2 linked regions of the Rattus norvegicus genome follow. The protein of the gene in region 1 interacts with the protein of each later gene in a pairwise test. Links are inferred from orthologs where the notes say so. Each region holds a gene or a part of one and is shown on either strand. Other genes may lie near its edges.

The links. The genes of interacting proteins can lie anywhere in the genome.
Region 2: the proteins of Dhps (region 1) and Eif5a2 interact in binary tests that used the Homo sapiens proteins (3 or more experiments, as listed by UniProt). The two-hybrid records come from large-scale screens. The link is inferred for Rattus norvegicus from reciprocal best matches to the Homo sapiens genes DHPS and EIF5A2.

Annotation. Positions count from the first base shown.
Region 1 is NC_086037.1:39,987,508-39,993,889, reverse strand, and holds the start of Dhps (deoxyhypusine synthase), read left to right. Parts: upstream 1-2,471; 5' UTR 2,472-2,545; coding exon 2,546-2,752; intron 2,753-3,153; coding exon 3,154-3,318; intron 3,319-3,997; coding exon 3,998-4,119; intron 4,120-4,201; coding exon 4,202-4,298; intron 4,299-4,379; coding exon 4,380-4,466; intron 4,467-4,947; coding exon 4,948-5,053; intron 5,054-5,130; coding exon 5,131-5,234; intron 5,235-6,145; coding exon 6,146-6,271; intron 6,272-6,345; coding exon 6,346-6,382. UniProt on the Homo sapiens protein: Catalyzes the NAD-dependent oxidative cleavage of spermidine and the subsequent transfer of the butylamine moiety of spermidine to the epsilon-amino group of a critical lysine residue of the eIF-5A precursor protein to form the intermediate deoxyhypusine residue.
Region 2 is NC_086020.1:113,654,729-113,661,435, forward strand, and holds the start of Eif5a2 (eukaryotic translation initiation factor 5A-2), read left to right. Parts: upstream 1-3,105; 5' UTR 3,106-3,188; intron 3,189-3,786; 5' UTR 3,787-3,822; coding exon 3,823-3,987; intron 3,988-4,491; coding exon 4,492-4,596; intron 4,597-6,707. UniProt on the Homo sapiens protein: Translation factor that promotes translation elongation and termination, particularly upon ribosome stalling at specific amino acid sequence contexts.

The sequences.
Region 1 (6,382 bases):
TGAACCTGTGCAGTACCCTATGTGTCTGTCGCCAGTGTTTCTATGCCCTGCTTCTTTCCTGGCTGTTTTGGATATGGTAGTGTCCACCTGTGGTCCTGTCACTGTCGAGGATGGCTTAGGCTACAAAAGCAAGGCACAACATCGCCAAAAACAACAGTCTGGGGTGGGAGGTGGAGTGGTTGGCATTATGTAGATTCCAAGCTGAACTGCAAAGATTGTTTACCGGGAGCCAGGATTTAGAGAGCAGCCTGGGTCACAGAAGGACCCTGCCAAGGAAATGTCTCCTGTTTTGAAGCCTCTTGCAGTAAATCCATCCTGTGCACAGTCCACAGGGGGCTGCTGCCAGACTTCCTCTTGAAATTTCCTGCTATTTATATGATCAGCACCACCGTTCCTCAGACAGGGGCTGCATCATTTAGGCTGGTCCTTGACTCCTAGGCTCACATGGCACTCTTGACTCTTCCCGTCGAGTAGTCAGCCTGGGTACTCCCATCACACCCAGCCTGCTTATCATCCTTCCTGCTGTCCCCCGAGGATTGTCCTGACACTGTTGTGTTCATCTGTTCATCCAACAGTGTATTAGCCTGGCTGAGCTGCTACAAGAAAAAGCCACAGACTGAATTGTAGAAACCCCAGGAATTGTTGGCTGGAAATATGAGGTCAAGGTGCTGGTGTTGATTTCTCTAAAGACTAGTGCTTCAGCAACCTCTTTTAAATTTGTATTTTAAAACTGCATTCATTATCCCAGCGCTCAGGAGACAGAGGCAGGTTGATCTTTCTCGGTGGGTTGAGGCCAGTCAGTTACATAGTGACACTGTCTGAAAAAAATTTATGTGCGTTGAGGGGAGGGGAGTTGCATGTGAATTGGGTCAGAGGTCATCTTTCTGGAAACTGTTCTACCAGGCCAGTCTTCGAGATTGAACTCAGGTGTCCAGGCCTCCTGAGCAAGGGCTTTACCCACTGAGCCATGGTCTTACTGGCCTGGAGGTCAACTTCTTGCTGGGTCCCCAGCTGCTCTTTCCTCTGCTTGTAAATCATGGTGACTGAGGTTTATCTGAGCATATCGGCCATCATTCTCTGACTCAGTGCAGTGTGGCTACCTTCACGGAACCTGTTCCCTACAGCAGTAGGTGTCATCAGACTCTCACTTGGGATTCAAGTCCTTTTGCCCTCCTGCATACTACCCATTGCAGATCTCCCTGCAGCCAGATGTGGCATTTGGGCACTGCTAGCCTATAGAGGAGGTTAAACGAAGGGGAGACCTTTATCTGTGCATCTTTGGGGAAATAGTGTCTCTGATATTTTTATAACAGGAATTTTCTGGGTCTTCTGGCCTCAGTCAAAACATCATGTGTTTGGCAGTTTTCTCCAGTCACCTTTTCCCTCAGCTCTGGTTACCAATTCCTCCAACCCACCTTCACACTTAACAGAGTGTGTGTGTTTTCTAGGCCAGAGGACAACCTCAGATGTCACTCTCATTCACCTGGTCCCTAAACCTGTGTGTATGAGCTTGTGCACGCATGGCATGCTTGTGGAGGTCAGACAATAATGTAAACAGGTCCAGACTCTTCTATCATGGGCCTTTGGCTACTGAGCCATTCTTCAGGTCCCATCCCCAAGGATCTACTGGTCTCTGCTTACCCAGAGCTATTACTGGTATTGCCAACCCCCTACCCCTCTTGAGTTCTGGCAATTAAACACACATATTCAATCCACACTCTTGCTTTTTTGCAAAGCAAGGACTGTACAGACAGCTATTTCCCTAGCCATGCCCGTCCCTTTTGTTGAGAAAGGGTCTTGCTTTCAATAGTTCAGGCTGGCCTGGAACTCGAGATTCTTTTGCCTCCACCTCCTGATTGCTGGTTTAGCCACCTAATGGTTTCCTGTTCATCAGACTATAGTCATCAGGAGGGCAGAGTCCATTGCTAAATCGCAGCGCCCAGCAGAGAGCACTATTTCTAGTGTAGATTACACAAACTGTAGAATGAGGGTGCCCCTGTCCTAGGTTCAGTGTATCATTAAAGGGGACGCATGAGAAAAGATTCTCAACAAACTTCTTTCGGCAAAAAGATGGTGGTCATCCCTGTCTCCCCAGAGGCCTATGATCCAGTGAAAATTGAACTATGGTTGTAGGGGGAAAAGAAGTTTGTAGCGACTCGAGGAAGCACCGAAAGAAAACACTCCCATTTGACAAAAGTCTGCAACTAACTTGTCCAAGGGCTCCGTCCTAGAAACAATCACCTCGCTCATGGGGGGACAAGAATATTTGGACAGACAGTTTGCAAATCAGGCACTTTTATCTACTTGAAGCTGAATCTGCCTACAAGGAATAACAAACAGCTCCTGGACCACATGTACGGAACACGGGAATAAAATGGCTGCTACCAGGCCCGCAGGCGCTGCCAGGGCCATGTGACTCAAGTAGCTTCCGGTACCCCTCCCCCGCCCCCGAGTCGCATTTCCTGGGCTCCGGCGGACCAAGCTGAAGGATTTGGCGGGTTCCAGGGCACCGAGACTGCTGTGACCAGAGAACGGCCGAGAGCGCATGGAGGGGACCCCGTCGGGGGCGGCGCCCTCCTCGGCGCTGGCCGCTGTGCTCAAGCACAGCTCAGCGTTGCCGCCCGAGAGCGCCCAGGTCCAAGGTTACGACTTCAACCGCGGGGTAGATTACCACGCGCTTCTGGAAGCCTACGGCACCACCGGCTTCCAGGCCACCAACTTCGGGCGCGCGGTGCAGCAAGTCAACGCCATGGTGAGGCGCCGGGCGACCCGGGTGGGAGGCGGGGCCGCTCCGTCCGCGTGAGTGCCGGGGAGAGGCGGAGTCCTGGTTAACTAGTGTTCCGCGATGGGAGGAGCTTGGGGTTAAAATCAAAACGGGCTTGTAGGAGGAGCTTAACGCTGGGAGAGCCCTGGATTCGCTTTTCCCACTGGAAGGAGTCCTGAAGAGAAGACACTGTGTTGTTCTTAAAAGGGAACAAACCCCAAGTGACAGACCAGGACCTGGAATGGGAGGGTTAGGGTCTGCACAGGGGTTGTGCTTTGGTTTTGTAGTAGTCTCCCTGAGTGCAATCAACGTCTGGAATCCAATTCATGTGGGGTTCCTCCACTGAGGTTTGGAGTTTTAGTGCAACTTTACTGTGCCCCTATGCCCAGATTGAGAAGAAGCTGGAACCACTGGCAGTAGATGAAGATCATCACGAAGACCTGACTCAGAGCCGCCGCCCACTCACAGGCTGCACCATTTTCTTGGGCTATACGTCCAACCTCATCAGTTCTGGCATCCGGGAGACCATTCGCTACCTCGTGCAGCACAATATGGTGGGTCCACGTTAGATCAGTGGCCCCAGCCTCTCTGGGCCAGTAGACAAAAGGGTTATTGTTCATTTAAGAAACATGAAGAGGCTCAGAGATTAAGAGTATTTGCTGTTCTGTGAAAGATTTGGGTTTGGTTTCCAGCAACCACCTGGTGACTCACAACCATCTGTAATGGGGTCTTCTGTGTGTCTGAAGAGAGGGAGAGTGTATTCACATACATAAAATAAATCTTAAAGGGTGTGAGGAAATGGAGTATTGCTTTTAGACATACTGGCAGTTTCTTCCTTCCTTCCTTCCTTCCTTCCTTCCTTCCTTCCTTCCTTCCTTCCTTTGTATATGAGCACACTGTTACTGTCTTCATGTACACCAGAAGAGAGCATCAGATCCCATTACAGATGGTTGTGAGCCACCATGTGGTTGCTGGGAATTGAACTCAGGACCTCTGGAAGAGCAGTCAGTGCTCTTAACTGCTGAGCCATCTCTCTAGACCCATACTGGCAGTTCTTAGACTTCAGCCTCCTTTCTGAGTGCTGGGATCACAAGAGTGTGCCACGTTTTCTGGGTCTGCTTTAGGCTTGAGTTGGTTTTGTCATAGAGCTCATGCTTTGGGTCTGGATGAGCTCAGGCCAATGTTAGGGGCACTACTTTGAAGAAGGGTCTGTGTTGTTGCTGGTGACCACAGGTGGATGTACTGGTGACCACTGCTGGAGGGGTGGAAGAAGATCTCATCAAGTGCCTGGCACCCACATATCTGGGCGAGTTCAGCCTCAGGGGGAAGGAGCTCCGGGAGAATGGGATCAACAGGTGAGGCTCTGAGTAGTGGTAGGAGCAGGGAAGCCGCGTTGAGGGTCCCAGTGTCTGATGCCCTCATGGATCCCATTTCTAGGATCGGGAACCTGCTGGTGCCAAATGACAATTATTGCAAGTTTGAGGACTGGCTCATGCCCATCCTAGACCAGATGGTGCAGGAGCAGAATACAGAGGTAGGGCTGGAAGGGCTCAGGTGGACCTGCATAGTTGAGTCAGAAGACATGGGCTAATACTGATATTCTCCCCCTTGTTAGGGTGTGAAGTGGACACCTTCCAAGATGATCTCCCGGCTTGGGAAGGAGATCAACAACCCAGAGTCTGTGTATTATTGGGCCCATAAGGTGGGTTGGGTGGGGACAGTATTCTTGGGGACAGTACTTAGGCTTTGACTTGCAATGACTTGTTTGACTTAGTAGCCACCTAAAAGTCTCAGTAATCATTCTTGGTCTTCCCAGAGTTAGACGAGGAATGTCGAACAGAGAGGCTAGGCGTCACTTGACTGCAGGGTTCTCCTAGCTATGCCCCTACACTCCTGGGACTCGGTGTAGTGCTTTAGAAGTCGGTGGGGCCTGACCCAGGGTACCATGTGCCCAGGGACAGTGCAGCTCAAGAGTCTGGACAATAAGACACTGCTCAGTGTGCCAGTACCTTCTTCAAGCCATGTGTGGTTTTTCCTCACGTCTGCATCCACATGCAAAGCAGAGGGTCATGTGCACCAGAGAAATCAAGCAGCCTACTCAGGTCGGGAGGGATGCCACTGGGTTGGGCATCAGTTTTGCTGGGGTATGAGGTGTAGCTGCTAACTGGTCCTATCTCCACCAGAACCACATACCTGTGCTGAGTCCTGCACTCACAGACGGCTCACTGGGTGACATGATCTTTTTCCATTCCTATAAAAACCCAGGCTTGGTCCTGGACATCGTTGAAGGTGAGGTGCTAAGGCCCTGGGAGAAGGGTGAGAAAAGCCCACCGAGTCCAAGGCCTGACCTCTGCCCTCTCTCCCAGACCTGCGGCTCATCAACATGCAGGCCATTTTCGCCAAGCGCACTGGGATGATCATCCTGGGTGGAGGCGTGGTCAAGCACCACATCGCCAATGCTAACCTCATGGTGAGTGGAGTGGCTCTTGGCAGCCATCCCCACCCTCTGCTCTGAGAGATGGTGGTATTAGATGTGCACTACAGCAGTGCACTCGATGGGCCAGAGTCCCTGTCCTCTTTGGAGTTATGTTGGGGTGAGGCAGGTCAGACAGCCATAAGTGACATGCATGTGAGGACTAAGTAATGTCAGTCAGGCAAGGTGACTGCTTGGGAGACTGAGGCAGGAGGAAGGCTTGTTCATAGTTCAGGGCCAATGCGAAATGTTGTAATGTGAAAGGAAAGCCGTTTACTGAAGGGAGTGTTGGGGACAGGCTTCTGGAATTGTAAGTTTGAGCAGAGATCGATGTGCTATCCACAAGTCTTAAGGTTATGTATGGGAAGAACATTCTCAGTGAGGGAACATCCAGGGTAAAGGCCCTGAGACATCTTCACCTCAAGTGGTGAAGGCAGCTTAAAGGTTACACTGCAGAGGTAGCTGGGCCTGTGGAACAAAAAGAGTATTTAGGAACTTGCTCTGAATGAGAACAGGATTTGGGAAGAACATATTTGCAGATGCTCTCTGGTGGGGTAATGGATCTGAGGCACAGAGTAGTGTCGTAGTGGGAGCAGAGGTAGGTTTGGTCTCCTGTAGATGGCTTGTGGCAGCCACCGAACCATCTCTCCAGCCCCTATACACCATTCTCACCCGTGCTTTAACTGGCTTGTCACATGGGGTGCTCAGAAGTGGTACATTTGGTTTAGGGTGGGACAGCTTGTACCTAGGTGGTGGTTGTATTGGAAACATGACCACCTGCCCATGAACCTCAGGTACCGATGGGTCCTTCTAAAAGCTCTCTAGGCCTTCCTCTATCATACCCAGCCTCTGTGGCTCTGGTGGTCTCTCTGTCTATGACTTCTGACCAGGCCTTCTTCTACCCACAGCGGAATGGAGCTGACTACGCTGTTTATATCAACACAGCCCAGGAGTTTGATGGCTCAGACTCAGGAGCCCGGCCAGATGAGGCTGTCTCCTGGGGCAAGATCCGGATGGATGCACAGCCAGTAAAGGTAGATGGTGGCCAGCCAGGGTGCAGGGTCCAGGGGCTGCCCCATGGCCCCGGGCTCACTCAGGTCCTCTGCAGGTCTATGCTGATGCATCTCTGGTTTTCCCCTTGCTGG
Region 2 (6,707 bases), on another chromosome or scaffold:
CATGGCCTGAGAGTTTGTATCAGAAAGCATCTTCTCCCCATTACGGTCAGGAAACAGAGAAACTAGGAAGATGCATGGGACAAGATAACATCAGAAGCACAGCTTTGATGGTCTTCTTCCTCCAGTCAGGTCCCACCCACTGAAGTTTCCAGAACTTTCCCAAAATGGTGCCACCAGCTGAGGATCCAGGGTCTCAGTCTGTCTATCTTTTGGGAGAAACTGCTCATCCAAACTTTTACCACTTCTTACTGCTGGCTTCTACCCAAACTTCAAATCTCAAATTAGATCATCCCCTCCAGAGAAGCTATAGTTATACTTTCCAACCCATGATGTCCACAGACAAGCCACCAGCCACATACAGCTTGCAGTGAAACCCAGAATGTGGCTACTGCGAATGTAGATGTTAAATGAAGAATATACACCAGATTGTAAAAACTTAGTACTAATTAAAAAAAATGTACAATAGCTTAGTAAATAATTTTATAGTTATATGTGGAAGAATATTTGAACATATTGATTAGGTTAAACTAAACATATTAACGGGGCTTAATTTCAGCTTTTAAAAATCCTTTTAACCTATCTGTAGGAAACTCAAAATTACATGTAGACTGCCTTGGATTCCCCCTGACCGACACACAGGCTAAAAAGGAGGAGCTCCTTTTGTCAGTGTTCCATGTCATGTCAGGACTATTCATCTTTGGGAATTACTAGACAGACAGACTGCGAGCAGCTTGTGGACAAGGGGCTTGCTATACCCTTCTGGAAACTCCAGAAGTAAGAATGGTCAAATAAACAGTCAATAAATTATAATGAATGAATGAATGAATGAATGAATGAATGAAAAATACTCAAAGCTCACTATTTTTGAATTCTACACTTGTGGTTTTGCATAAAGAACCAAAAGAAAATATCCAGAACATGCTTCCTGCATTGTCTGTGCCTGTGCAGAGATCTGAGCTGAGGCCAAACACAGCAGTGTTCTCTTTGATGGTTTCAACTATCGAACTGCACATACGTGTTCTTTCTGGTATATTTACTATGCTTGTGAGAGCTTTGATTTCTGGTTTGCACCTTATGCACCCTGTGGGTGATTTCCCTGCTTAAAATGCCCCCAAGTACTATGCTGAGAAGCTCTCTGGTGTTCCTATGCACAAGGTTCTGTTGTGCCAAATAGAGAAGTGTGTAGATAAAATACCTTTAGGCTTACACTGTAGTGCTATCAGCCACACACCCACTGTTAACAAACACATACGAGGGGTTGGGGATTTAGCTCAGTGGTAGAGTGCTTGCCTAGCAAGCGCAAGGCCCTGGGTTCGGTCCCCAGCTCCGAGAAAAAAAAAAAAAAAACCACATACGAAATAAAGTGCCTCTAATAGAATTAAACATGACAATCACTCATTCACCATGGAGATTTGGCCAAGGAACGTATAAGGAATCTAGGACTGTGACTCTCCTAGAATCAAGGGCTCAGAATTGGCTACTTCAGTGTTCTAGAGACCTCAGGAGAAGTCACTGTATTTGTTGAATTAATAGTCATTTGAGTATGCATACAAATCTTATGTGAATATGGTGGCAGACAAAGAAGTGATTTCAACTTTAATCCTGGCTGACTTTGACGAGCTATACGATTGGGGGCAACTTGCTTCATTGTCCTGGCCTTCTCCCCATTATTCAAAAATGAGGATAAGAGTAACTATTAGTGATTGGGAAGGTCTGGCTGGGTGTAATCTCCCCATTATTCAAAAATGAGGATAAGAGTAACTATTAGTGATTGGGAAGGTCTGGCTGGGTGTAAGGTAGAGGTGGAAAACAGGGCCGATGACCAAGAGGCACAGAGAATTTTGGAATGCGAAAATATTCTCTATCTTGATTATGGGAAGATAATTGTATAACTGATTTTCTTTTTCAAAACTCGTAGAAAACCAAACCTTATTTCAAATAAATTCTAACATTAACCTTAGTTTAAACAAAAACTTTAGTAGTCAAGATTAAATAATGGAGATAAAACAGTACACTCTGTAATTCTTTTTTAAGTATTAGCAGCAGTAATAACAACAAAAACAGGGAAAAGTTAGGCAGTGTAAGTAAGGAAAAGCTGAGGGAACTCGGAAGCCTGGAGTTATAATTTGGCTCTTCCATAGAGTAACAAGAGGCAGAGTTTACTTTACGGAAACCATGTGCTTATTGCTTCTAAACAACACAAGTGAAATGTGTTCTGTATAGACGTATACATGAGTATGAGACTAGATTTGCTTACAAGACAGCAATTATTGAACAACACGAACTGCGGTGTGGGGTAGTAAGTTCATTACCTTGATTCTCTCCAAGGTGAGAGATGAAGCTATGATCGGAAAGCACACTTCTCAGGAATCTTTGCCTTTATTCCTTAACAACACAAACCACAACAAAACTCCAAACTCTAGGGCACCTAGACGCCAAGAAGATCAAAGGGCAGCATAAAGTCTCTGGGCACATGGGATTTCCTGCCCCTAGGTACACTGTTGACTCTCCAGCTGCACCAGCACCTCACCATAGGGCCTCTGGAGTCCTGAGGAACTACAACGCAGAGTCATGAAACAGCACACCACAACTTCGAGCTCCAAGCATGGATTCCAAACCCCCAAGGAGGGCCGCAAGCTGTACCGGAAGCTTGAGTCAAAGTTCCACTCCACCGACACACGGGACTCTTGCAAAATCCGCGGGACTTGAGAGTTTGAAGACCATTAAAGGACAGCATCCATGCACCCGCGTGCTAGAGCCCAGAGCGAGCTACCTGGTCCTAATGGTCGTCCCCAAGGTCAACTGGGCCCGGAACTGAACATAAGGATGCATCCCGCCCGGGAACTCAGCGAAGCTTCAAGCAGTCGACTGCAGGCAGCTCTGCACGCCGGAAGTGCACTAATCCGCAGCACGTGGGGTTGCCAGGGCGAGCTTCACGTGACTGGGCGGGACCTCAGAAAACCTCGAGCCAATGGAAGATCTGGAGGCGGGGCCTGTGGCGGGCCGGGGCCTATCCCGGAAGTGTAGCCGCGGCGGGGCGGGCCCGGGCGGGGCGGGCCGGGGCGGGGAGCCGGGTGTGGGAAGCGTGGCGGCCCCGCCCCGTCTCCTGGACCAGCCGCGGCCGCCAGCGCCGCCGCAGCCGCAGGGACCGGGCGGACGCAGCAAAGGCTTGCGGTGCGGGCCGGAAGGTGAAGACCAGGGGCCGGGCCGGCGGGGCGGGGGACGCAGCTGGTGATGCTGGGGTCCGGGCGAGGGGAGGAGCGGAGATGCTTGGGAACTAGAAGGCAGACGAGCGCGGGACCGCCGGGCTCGGGCCCTTCGCCACTGGGCCGAACCGGGATACCAGGGCGGCGCCGCTGCGGGTCCTAGGCGCGCTGAGGGCCAGGTGCAGCCGGCCGGGTGCTCGTGTCCCAGTCTTTCCCGGACCTGCGGCCTGGCTGATGCCTTGGCAGTGGGGATGGGGTGGAGGGTGGCACCGGGCCCGGCAGCCCGGCGCAGGAAGGTCGCGGCACTTCTTGTGATAGGGTGGTGGGGACCGGACCTGCCGACCCGGCGCTGGTGTCGCCTTCACTCTCCGGCGAGCTCTTCTGCGGCTCCCTCCCCACCTCCCACCAAGGGCTGGAAAAGTTTTCAGAGGCCTGAATGGCAAAGTATACACCACTCAGAGTGGGTGTCCTATAATGCCAAAATAACGGGCTAGTGATGCTCGGCTTGTTATCCGTCTTCAAAATGAGACGTACCCGCCTGCATGCCCGTTATTAAAAAGCAAACAAACTTTTCGCATAGTTCCCTCAGAAAAACCACACATCTCCCCAGCCCACCATGGCAGACGAAATTGATTTCACTACTGGAGATGCAGGGGCTTCCAGCACTTATCCTATGCAGTGCTCAGCCCTGCGCAAAAACGGCTTCGTGGTGCTCAAAGGGCGTCCATGCAAAATCGTGGAGATGTCAACTTCCAAGACTGGGAAGCATGGTCATGCCAAGGTAAGCGCTTCCAGGTCACTCTTTGGCTTCTTGGATAAGATCCTATGTATTCCATTCTACATCATAAGATTTCTATATTTAAAATAACTTTTTTCTTCCCTTGGTCTCTTGAATGATCAGGCATTACTCCCAATAAAACTATCCTTTAATTGGTCCCTTAGAATGTCTCATTAACTGGAAACTAAAACTTTTTTGAATTCTGGTGCTCTAAAACGTCTTGTTTCATTGAAACAAGCCTGTTCTTATAATTCTAAGAGACTTGGTTTTCACTTTCTGTGGACTCTCGTAATTGAAGCGCTGAGATGTGTAGTGTGTTGGGAGTTGGATGCCATGAAACTGTTCTGGTTTGGGGTACTTACTGAATCTCAGTTCTGTGCCACTGCAACTTTTTTAAAGAAAGTGAGACGACCTTGGAGAGAGGTGATAGGATCCATTACAGTCAGCGTCGGGAGTGACATAGCTGACAGAGATTAAACATGTTCCTGCCCTTCCTGCCTCTCTTAGGTACACCTTGTTGGAATTGACATTTTCACTGGCAAAAAATATGAAGATATTTGTCCTTCCACTCACAACATGGATGTTCCAAACATTAAGAGAAATGATTATCAAGTAAGTACTGATTTCCTGAACAGTGTTTCAGAAGTGTGTAAACACCCTCCTTAGTAGTAGTTTGACAAGACTTGAGAGTAGTTTTATAGAGTACGTACCTTACCAATTACTAGACTCCACTTACCTTACAGATTAGAGGAATAGTGTTTTGTTTTGTTTTGTTTTTAATACTTTGTGCCTTTTTTGTTGTGAACTAGGGGACCATATATCTCAGGCTGTCCTTGAACTCAGTATTCATCCAAAGATGATCTTCAGTTTCTGACCCTCCTGCCTCTGCCTATGAGTACTGAGATTGTCCACTGCATCTTCGTGCCTGGCTATCCTGTACTGGAGGTCAAACCCAGGGCCTTGCGCATGCTTTAGGCAAGCAACCTACAGTTGAGCTATCTCTCTAGCTCATTTCTATTCCTATTCCTGCATTTTAAAAATGTTGTATTGAACCAGTGAGATGGCTTAGTTAGGTACTTTCTGTCAAGCCTGACTCTAGAGCTCAATTCCAGAAAGAGAGAACTGTTCTTCACATTTGAGCTATGAAACACACATACCCGCATATGAACATTCACTAGATAAACAAGTATAAGTAGAAATTTTAAATGTAGCATCTAGAGGCAGGAGAACCAGAAAGATTTAAGAAGGTTGGTATCAACTGCATTTACTCAATGACTTATAATGTAAATTTGTAATGTAAAAACAATGTAGACATATTTTTCTAGTTTTAATTTGATGAATAGTTTTATATTTTCACAGTGCCGATTAAATTCTGTATTCTGTATTAAATCTGTAAAAATTTAGAATAATTTGATACTTATATCAAACACCAAAGAAAGTGACATTTTGAGTCAAGTGGATCTGGGCTTGGAACTGGTTCTGGCACTCTCTGGCTAGATGGTCTTTTACAAAGTATTTGTCTTCTCTAAACCTCTGCCTTTGCATCTACAAATCAGAGTGATATGTGGGTTGGATGTGCCCATAAGTAGATGTGCGTTAACAAGTTCTTGTTCTGCTTCATGTATCCTATATCAGAATCCTACTTTCATTATTCTTAGATCATTGGCTTTAGATGTGCTCAGTAAACACTAGTTAAATACACCTTTTTCAGTGTAGCACTGTGTAAGAGTAACATGTCAGATTAAGGCTAAGTATAGAATTTACGTTGGCCAAAATGGGCTTCTTTTCTCATCCTGATTTGTGAGCTCTTAGTATTCATTATATTCAAGCACCACAGACAGGAAAAGCAAAGCCATGTGTAGTTTTTATTCCACACTTCTACCTGTTGGATGTTTCAGCAGGCTACATCAGAGTTCACTATTATTACCAAATTAATGAACCATTGAGGACTACTTGGTTTGGATTTTATGTGGATATTTCATAAGGCCCCAGCATACTCAGCTCCTGTGCAGAGGTGAAGCACATTCAGTCTAAAACAATGCCCACCACAGATTAGCCTTGGGCAGAAGGAGAATTAAAGATTGCCATCCTGTCTCCGTCTCAGATTTTTGTTTTGTCATGTGAGTTTTGTATTCTCATTTTAAATTTTCCTTGTTCTGTGGTTGAGGTGTTTGGGTGTCTTCTCGGGCATGCACCCAAGAAGGCGCCTTGCTTAGTTTGTTCCAGTCCCAACCCTGGAAGTCCACATGGCAGAGTGGATAGCCATGGATGGTGACGGTCAGGCCGCTGGACCTAGGTCTCTGCTTTGGGACTTACTATGGTGTGACCTCGGCTGGCCAGTTATTTGACCTTTCTTGTCTCTTTTACTTCATAAAATTGGGAAGTGGAATCAAAGCTCTCACAGGTTTGCTCTAGGCTCCTGGGAAGGACTCAGGACTGCAGCTCCCCTCTTACAGAATGGCCGGCAGATATTCATTTCTGGTCACTCGTTTAGAATCGGTCCTGTGAGCTTTCTGGTTTATTTATTATGCTCTGGTGATCTTCACTCTTCTATCCATGTGCCTTTGTTAAATCTTTGCTTCTGTTATTATCTGGCTACGTGCAGTTCCTTTGCATCTGCTGAATTCAATATTTTGAGTGCCAGTTTGGCAGCCAGCCAAAGTGGATTGTGAACATCTATTCATTTTAATAATTTAAAAAATAAAAGATTTGGGAGAAAAATA